Linked DNA regions of Macaca fascicularis. The protein of the gene in region 2 purifies or fractionates together with the protein of the main gene of each other region. This does not show direct contact. Links are inferred from orthologs where the notes say so. Each region holds a gene or a part of one and is shown on either strand. Other genes may lie near its edges.

Region 1 (3,911 bases), on a different chromosome or scaffold from region 2:
TGATCTGCCCGTCTCGGCCTCCCAAAGTGCTGGGATTACAGGCTTGAGTCACCGCGCCCGGCCGAGAATGTTTTAAAATGGGGACCTTGAGGCAGGGTGTCCCCAAGTCCCAGCCCTTCCAGTTTTGGGGGAAAGGCTTTGGGCCCCATTCCACCTCGGAGAGGCCAAGACCCACATGTCACAGTCTGCACACAGTAAGCCCCAGGCTGCAGGACTTAACGGGGTCTTTACCGTGGCTTCCATTGTATCTTATTCGAACTCAGATTTACAGACACAACACTGGAAAACCAATTCCTGCTCTACCCACGCCTCAACTTGTTAAGAAGAAGAAATACAGGATCTAACACCCAGGAACGTCACATCTTCGCCATTCCCACTTCCTTTCTGCCCTAGGCATTCAATGTGTGCCACCAGGGGCCATGAGGACGAGGGCACCGCACCCACGGCAGCAGTCAGGTGTGAAGCTCAGAGTCCCTCCTAACAGCCTCGCTCCAGCGTCTTCTTGGCCTGCAAGACAAAGTGTTTTGTCTGAATGGCTTGCTTCCAAGTTAGATATGGCTCAAAAGAAAGCTACCACACTAAATGTCGTGTTCTACGCAAATACCTTACAGAGAACGTGGTGCTGGCATGTGGTGGGGGCTCGACTGGTTGGAGCCTGGGCCCCATGGGCCAGTTCTCTGTGTCACTTGTCCATGGGACAAGGGCCTCATGACACTGTCATGGAACTCACTGCTGCACCCTCCTCTGAGCCCCCACCAGATGCCACACTGGGACCCAAGCTCTCATAAAGGGAAAGCAGGAGCCCCCCAAGTTTTTTTTTTTTTTTTTTTTTTTTTTTTTTTTTTTTTTTTTTTTTTTTTTTTTTTTTTTTTTTTTTTTTTTGAGACGGAGTCTCGCTCTGTCGCCCAGGCTGGAGTGCAGTGGCCGGATCTCAGCTCACTGCAAGCTCCGCCTCCCGGGTTTACGCCATTCTCCTTTCTCAGCCTCCCGAGTAGCTGGGACTACAGGCGCCCGCCACCTCGCCCGGCTAGCTTTTTGTATTTTTTAGTAGAGACGGGGTTTCACCGTGTTAGCCAGGATGGTCTCGATCTCCTGACCTTGTGATCCGCCCGTCTCAGCCTCCCAAAGTGCTGGGATTACAGGCTTGAGCCACCGCGCCCGGCTGTTTTTTTTTTTTTTTTTGAGATGCAGTCTCGCTTTGTCGCCCAGGCTGGAGTACGGTGGCGCAATCTCGGCTCACTACAACCTTCACCTCCCAGGTTCAAGTGATCTTCCACCTCAGCCTCCCAAGTAGCTGGGACTACATCACCAGGCCCGGCTAATTTTTTTTTTTTTTTTTTTTTTGTAGAGACAGGGTCTCCGTATGTTGCCCAGGCTGGTCTCAAACTTCTAGGCTGAAGCAATTCACCCGCCTCAGCCTCCCAAAGTGGTAGGATTACAGGCATGCGCCACCATACCCGGCAAAAAGTGCAACTTCTGATGAGTTACCCACCCCTGGATCCAAGGCTGCTAGGGCCGGGTAGCTATGAAGGCCATGGAGCTCTTGTTCAACTACCCTTTCTCTGGTCCAAATCTGCGGATTAATAGCTCCCAGTAAACAAGAGTCAGCACTGGCATCACGGCCTACCCCAGATACACTGAGGTGGTACCCAGAGAGGCTGACACTTAGGGAACCAGCCTCAGAATGACTTGAAGCCCTATGGTGCCAGTTGTGAGGGTGGCTGGGGGTGCCCGGCAGGACAGGCGCTGAAGGAATCCACTGCAGCTGCACGGGGCGGGCTGCAAGTGAAGGGAGATGAAGACCCGGAAGGCGCTGGGCACTTTCTGGGAGTCCTGTGTTGGGTCGATCCTGGCCTGACACCCCTCGGCGGCAGTGCTAACACGAAAGCTTACGCGTTTTACCAGGCGCTTTAGTGCACACATTTCCCATCCTTTCTGAGGTTGGTGCCAGTCCCGGTTTACAAACACGCAGGGACAAACCCGGGACGGCCGAGGTTTCGCGGGCTCGTCCGTGGCTCGGTGGTTTGGTCAGCCGGCGTCTAAAGCACGCGGCAGGCGCTCAAACCTTGAACCAACGGGAAAGCAAAGGAAAGCTGGGGCCCCCTGGATCTTGGAGGGGAAGGGCTAGGAGGGGCCCGCGCCCACCTACCGCGGCGGCGAAGCAGCTCCGCAGGGCCTCGAACTCCCGCGCGCAGAGGTCCTTGCTTAGGCTGCCGCCTGGGGCCGTGGAGGCCTGCACGCACCTGCCGTACGCCGCGGCCTGCGGAGGGGATGGGCGCGGGTCATGGGGTCCCTTGATCCCGTCACCGCCCTCCCTCCCAGTCACCTCCCCGCGCTGCTCCTCCTGTCCAGCAGCACTGGCCTGCCCGCGGCTCCTCACCTCGGCCCCGCAGGCGGCCAGCCGCTCGGGGAAGGCGCGGAGGCGGCTTCGCACGCGGCCCCACACAGCTCCGTTCACAGACATGAGTGGCTGTTCCCAGAGCCCCTGGGCGCCGTCATCTTAGGTCCAGCCTCTTCCGGTGTCAAACAGCTTGATAGGTCGGCGCTTCCGCCCATAACCTTTCCTGCGCTTCTTAATTGGCCAGAGCCCCTGCAATTGGCTCTTGTCCTAGTCTGTCTGTGCCCTGGGACTTCGGATTGGCCTAGGCTCAAATTGTTTACGAAGCCAACCTCAGGGCCCGCCCCGCCGCGAGGGATTGGCCGGCGGAGCCAGACCCGCGCAGTGATTGGAGAGCCCGGGCCTGGCGGAAGCGGGGCAGACCGGGAGGGGACTTGGATCATGGCTGCCGCGCCGCCGCTACGGGACCGCCTGAGCTTTCTACACCGGGTGAGTGAGGGCGGTCCGCCCGGGCCCCGGCCCCACGGCTTCTCTCGAGCGCCGCGTTCCCCGGACTCGCCCCGGGCTTGAGCCGTTGACCTTGCGTCTCCGCGCCGGGTAGCTGCTGCCGGCCCCTTCGCCCGCGCCGACGCCCCTGAGCTGCCCGCCCGCCGCGCCGTCCCGGGGCCTCCCAAGCCGGACCCACCGAGCGCAAGGGCGATGGGTACAGCCAGACCCTGGGGGAACGAACAGGCCTCCGCCAGCATTCAGTGGGCTCCGACAGGAGGGAAGGAGCGGCGGACCCAGTGGACGTGGAGCCGCTGTGTCCGTGCTGCCGGCGCCCAGGTGGGCTGGCCGCCCGCCGTCCTCCCTAACGGTGGCGTTTCAGAGGACTCCGGTCCTGGAGAGGCACCCCTGGGTTGCAGAGAACACAGACATTTCGAAGGGACAGGGAAGGACACACCGTTGTAAGCCCCTCTTAGTAAACGCTCTGAGAAGGAGAGGCCGGGCCAGTTCCCAGGTGTCGTCCTGAGCAAACCGCCCTCTTTTGTCAGCCCTCAGCTTTCCTAGGCTGAACCTCAGAGGGGGCTGAGTGGGCCCAGGGCGCGGCCTTGGGCTGCCAGAAGCCACGCTAGGGTTGGTCAAAGCTCTCAGTGCAAGGTTTGGACAGAGTCGTTGTGTGCTGCGTTCTGCCGTTGTCAGCTGTCACCTGCAAACCTGTCTAGCTCCCCTTAGGGCTTGGTGGGCAAATAGTGTCAGTGATGTGTGTCCACAGCCTCGGGAAACACTTCAGGTCCACGTTTGCGTGTGTTGTCACTAGATCTCCGCGCTGCCAACTGAAAGGCTTCAGCACCTCACGTGGTCGGTCCCATGCTTGTCCTCTTAAATACTCTTGAACTCTGTTGTGTCCTGAAACTGAATAATGCAAAAATGGGTGGTTCCAGTTTTCATCCCTATAAACTCTACATCTTTGTGCCAGTAAGTCAGCATGAAACCAATAAGTCCATCTGCTGTTAGCGAACATAAAACACACGACATCGGTCGGTTCTTGGGGAGCGATGGAGCCAGTCAGGCTGAGCGGCTGTCACTCTGC
Region 2 (3,811 bases):
ATCATCTGGAATACTCTAAGCCCCTTTTTACACCTAATTCTGGATTTGAAGATTCTGACGGAGTTGTATGTTTAGAAATTTGTCTTGTTATCTGTGATACATTTTTTGAGCTACTTTTTAAGGTAACAGACAGTAAAAAATTATACATTCCTACCTCGTGTCAATTAAGATGTGTTATACAAACTAAGCATTGTCAATCAGGGCTTTTCCCTTAAAAAAAAGAAAAAAAAGGGGGAAAGAAAGAGTGCCATAAAACCATGAACACATACAGTTTTCTATCTTTAAAATGAAAATAAGTTACTTCTGAACTGTGTAAGTAATGGGTTAATCAAACTTGATAGTTACCACAGTCAGAGTATTAAAGCCAGCTCTCCCAAGCAGATGTCCCAGGTCATTGACAGCAGTGAAAGGAGAAATGTGTGGAGAAAATCCTCCTTCCCTTTCTGTTTCCGCTAACTGTAAGGAACACCGAAGTTCATAGAGTGTGTCGCCTCCAAACATTGCACCGATAAACACTCCATCTGGTTTTAAAATATAATGAATCTGTAATAAATACAAGACAACAAAATGATTCAAATTTTTACATATATAAATGTTAAAAAATATATAGTGTCTAAATCAACATTTTATGACAACCATTCCTATTATGCCAAATTAATAATCACAGAATTTAACAAATAACATTCTAATGCAACCAACTGTCAGAAAATCATGATGCATAATATACTTGGAAAGACAACTATACATTCACTAATATTAATGCCTATAAAAATATGTTGTATGTTTTCAAGTTTTCTAATAGGTACAACTTAGTTTTATAATCAGAAAAATGCTGAAAGAGAAAAAAATCTTTAATTGGGGTAGGCTGCAAAAATCACAAACCTCCCTGTATCTATGGCCTCTGAACTGTCATTTTCTAACAACTTTCATCAAGATAGGGAGTCTATTTCCCCTCCCCTTGAATCTTGGCTGGACTTGTGACTTGCTTTGGCCAAAAGAATGCAGTGGAAGTGACAGTGTGCCAGTTCCAAGTCTAGGTCTCAAATGTGTTGCATGCTTCCACCTGCTCTCTTGGAGCCCAGCCCAGCCACAATGTGTGAACAAGCCTGAGCTAGCCTAGCGGAGGAGGAGGATGTGGAGCTGAGATCAGCCAGCTGTGCACACCGAGGCCCTCCAAACCAGCTAGCTCCCAGACAATCTGGCAGCTGATCACAGACACATGGACGAGCTAAGCCAGACCCAGATTTCCTAACCAAATCCAGCCCCAACTGCCAACCCACAAAATCGTGGGCTACACAGTTGTTGTTTTAAGCCATCAAGTTGGGGTGCCTTATTATGCAGAATAAGCTACAGAGAACTCATTATGATTCACAGCATTAACCTAGAAACGTATTAGTTTTCTTTAAAGAGAAGTAATTAATTTATTTTCCAGCTTTAAAACAAAACCAAGTTCTAATTGGTAGCTTAAGGAAAATAATGGCCAGAGTGAATTCCAGTACCACAGATTTTGCTCACTCTCAGACTACAAGCTGTAACTACTTTGAATGACTATTCTCAGCAATGAGGACCCTTACAGGAAAAGGTAGATTCTGAAGTAAACCAGAATCCAAATCACAGTAGGCTCTTCTAATAAAAGCACTGTCTTAAATGTATATTTAATATATCATGAAGCTATTAAAAGCAGTATTAATAATTTGTAAAGGCTATGGTTCCTTCCCTTCTTCACCTTTAGTGTTGCTTCCTCTTCTTGTCATCAAACTCTACTAAACCAAACACCTAAGACTTAGTCCTCAGAAGTCTGTAGCCCCCACTCTCCGTCAAACGGCTTATCAACTTCCATGATTTCACAATGACCACTTTCCAATCTCTAACTTCAGCTTGGCCATCTTCTTAAAGTCTAAAATCATCTTCAACTGCCTATTCCCTGGACATTTGTCTCTCAGCATACTTATCGGCCCTGCTCCCTCCAACCACCACAAGGAAAACACCTATTTATCAAATCAATTCCCCTGTCCAACTGCCATATTTCTATTGCCACCTTCTATTCCCTTTATCTGACCATCAACATTCTTTCTCCTACTTTTACTAATCCAGACTCAAAACCTGAAAGTGAGCTTTGCCTCCCCCGTTTGATCTTCAGATCTAATCAGCCACTAAACTTGATTCTTTCTTTGTAGAGTCCTAAATACTCTTCCTTTTAACTCCTACCATTACCACCTAGATTTAGTTTATCTCCTCCTTGGACCACTGAAATAGTCTCCCTTCAATTTAACCAACTGCTCCAGGCATCAGTTTTTCGTTTGTTTGTTTGTTTGTTTTTGAGACAGAGTCTCACTCTGTCGCCTAAGCTGGAGTGCAATGGTGTGATCTTAGCTCACTGCAACCTCTGCCTCCCGGGTTCAAGAGAATCTCCTGCCTCAGCCTCCCAAGTAGCTAGGATTACAAGCACCTGCCACCACGCCTGGCTAATTTTTGTATTTTTAGTACAGGCGGAGTTTCACCATGTTGGCCAGTCTGATCTCGAATTCCTAACCTCAGGTGATCCACCAGCCTCGGCCTCCCAAAGTGCTGGGATTACAGGCATGAGCCACCGCATCCGGCACAGGCATCACTTTCTAATCAGCAAAACAAATATATCTTGCAGAGCTATTTAACACAAATATAAAACAGAGCACAGCAAATGGAAACTGGAAAATTATACGCATTCAGATATGGCCATTATTATTTTGCCCACCAGCTTTGTCATGATGTCATTTTCCTCTTCAAAGTGCTCCAGTGGCTCTGAATTGCATAAACTCCAAATTCCTCAACCTGACACTCAAGTCCTCCTAAATACTGTCCCAATATATCACATTTCATTTCCCAGAACCATACTAGTCCCCCAAACAGGTTTCCTTTTGGTTCCTTAATGCTGATGAGGCTCTTGTGCCTCTCCACCTATCCTGCGATTCTCCCTTCTTAGAATGCCTTCCCAATCCAAATTTCACCCACCCTCTAAGGCCCTGCTCAAGTACTTTCCTCTTGAAGCTTTTCTAGGCCACGTCAAGCCACAGTGATCTTGTTCTCTCCTTTGAACACATACTTTTTACCTGCCTCTCACCTGTCTATTGATACGTGTGAATTAATAAAAATTTACCTAGTACTCTCTGAGTATAAGGCATTGGGAAAATACAAATATAAATAAGTAAGTTCCTACTCACAAAAAGTTTATAGGCAATTAAACTATAAGAAACAAGAAGGAATCCACACAGAGAATGTCTTATGATATCAATATTATTTTGCACAGTTTCTAGCCTGTTCATATTTAAAACTTATCTCTACAATTAGATTTCTTAAATTCTCAGGGAAAGGAGAGTTGCCCAATGTACTACTAATACGCCAAATGGCACCAGGTGATTTCACTGATTCCTTTCCCAACTGTCAGACCTACAAGTAAATAGTTTGTGAAAATGGAAACACCTGTAGGTTTCCAACAATAAAGAAAATAACACAAGATAGTTGAATGAACGTAAGTTTTCTTACCTGCTCAAGTGCTCTAGGAAGGTCATTCACCCAGTGCAAACTAAAATATGAGAATACAGATTTGTTTTAGCTTAATTGGCACAATTAATAAAATTATCACCAGGTTAATGATAACCCATAAAAAGGTGTTAATTTTGAAGTTTAAAACTGCATATCAAAATCCACTGATTGTTTTCATACAAGTTTTAAAATTACAAATATTCCTAGGGGAAACCTTCTTTGTGTCACACCAGAAAATTCCCCATGTCAATATATCACTTTGCTCAACTGAAAGAATCTGATATGATTA

Evidence for each region.
Region 1: the proteins of NDUFAF5 (region 2) and NDUFAF8 purify together in Homo sapiens (affinity purification with mass spectrometry; 3 studies listed by BioGRID and IntAct, counting the BioPlex papers as one, with this or other methods). This does not show direct contact. The link is inferred for Macaca fascicularis from reciprocal best matches to the Homo sapiens genes NDUFAF5 and NDUFAF8.

The regions. Positions count from the first base shown.
Region 1 is NC_088390.1:87,662,324-87,666,234, reverse strand, and holds NDUFAF8 (NADH dehydrogenase [ubiquinone] 1 alpha subcomplex assembly factor 8), read right to left. Parts: upstream 2,469-3,911; 5' UTR 2,465-2,468; coding exon 2,381-2,464; intron 2,261-2,380; coding exon 2,150-2,260; intron 508-2,149; coding exon 478-507; 3' UTR 227-477; downstream 1-226. Other genes in the region: AP-4 complex accessory subunit tepsin, read left to right, coding at 2,780-2,827. UniProt on the Homo sapiens protein: Involved in the assembly of mitochondrial NADH:ubiquinone oxidoreductase complex (complex I, MT-ND1). Required to stabilize NDUFAF5.
Region 2 is NC_088384.1:73,561,818-73,565,628, forward strand, and holds part of NDUFAF5 (arginine-hydroxylase NDUFAF5, mitochondrial), read right to left. Parts: intron 3,563-3,811; coding exon 3,523-3,562; intron 544-3,522; coding exon 346-543; intron 1-345. UniProt on the Homo sapiens protein: Arginine hydroxylase that mediates hydroxylation of 'Arg-111' of NDUFS7 and is involved in the assembly of mitochondrial NADH:ubiquinone oxidoreductase complex (complex I, MT-ND1) at early stages. May also have methyltransferase activity.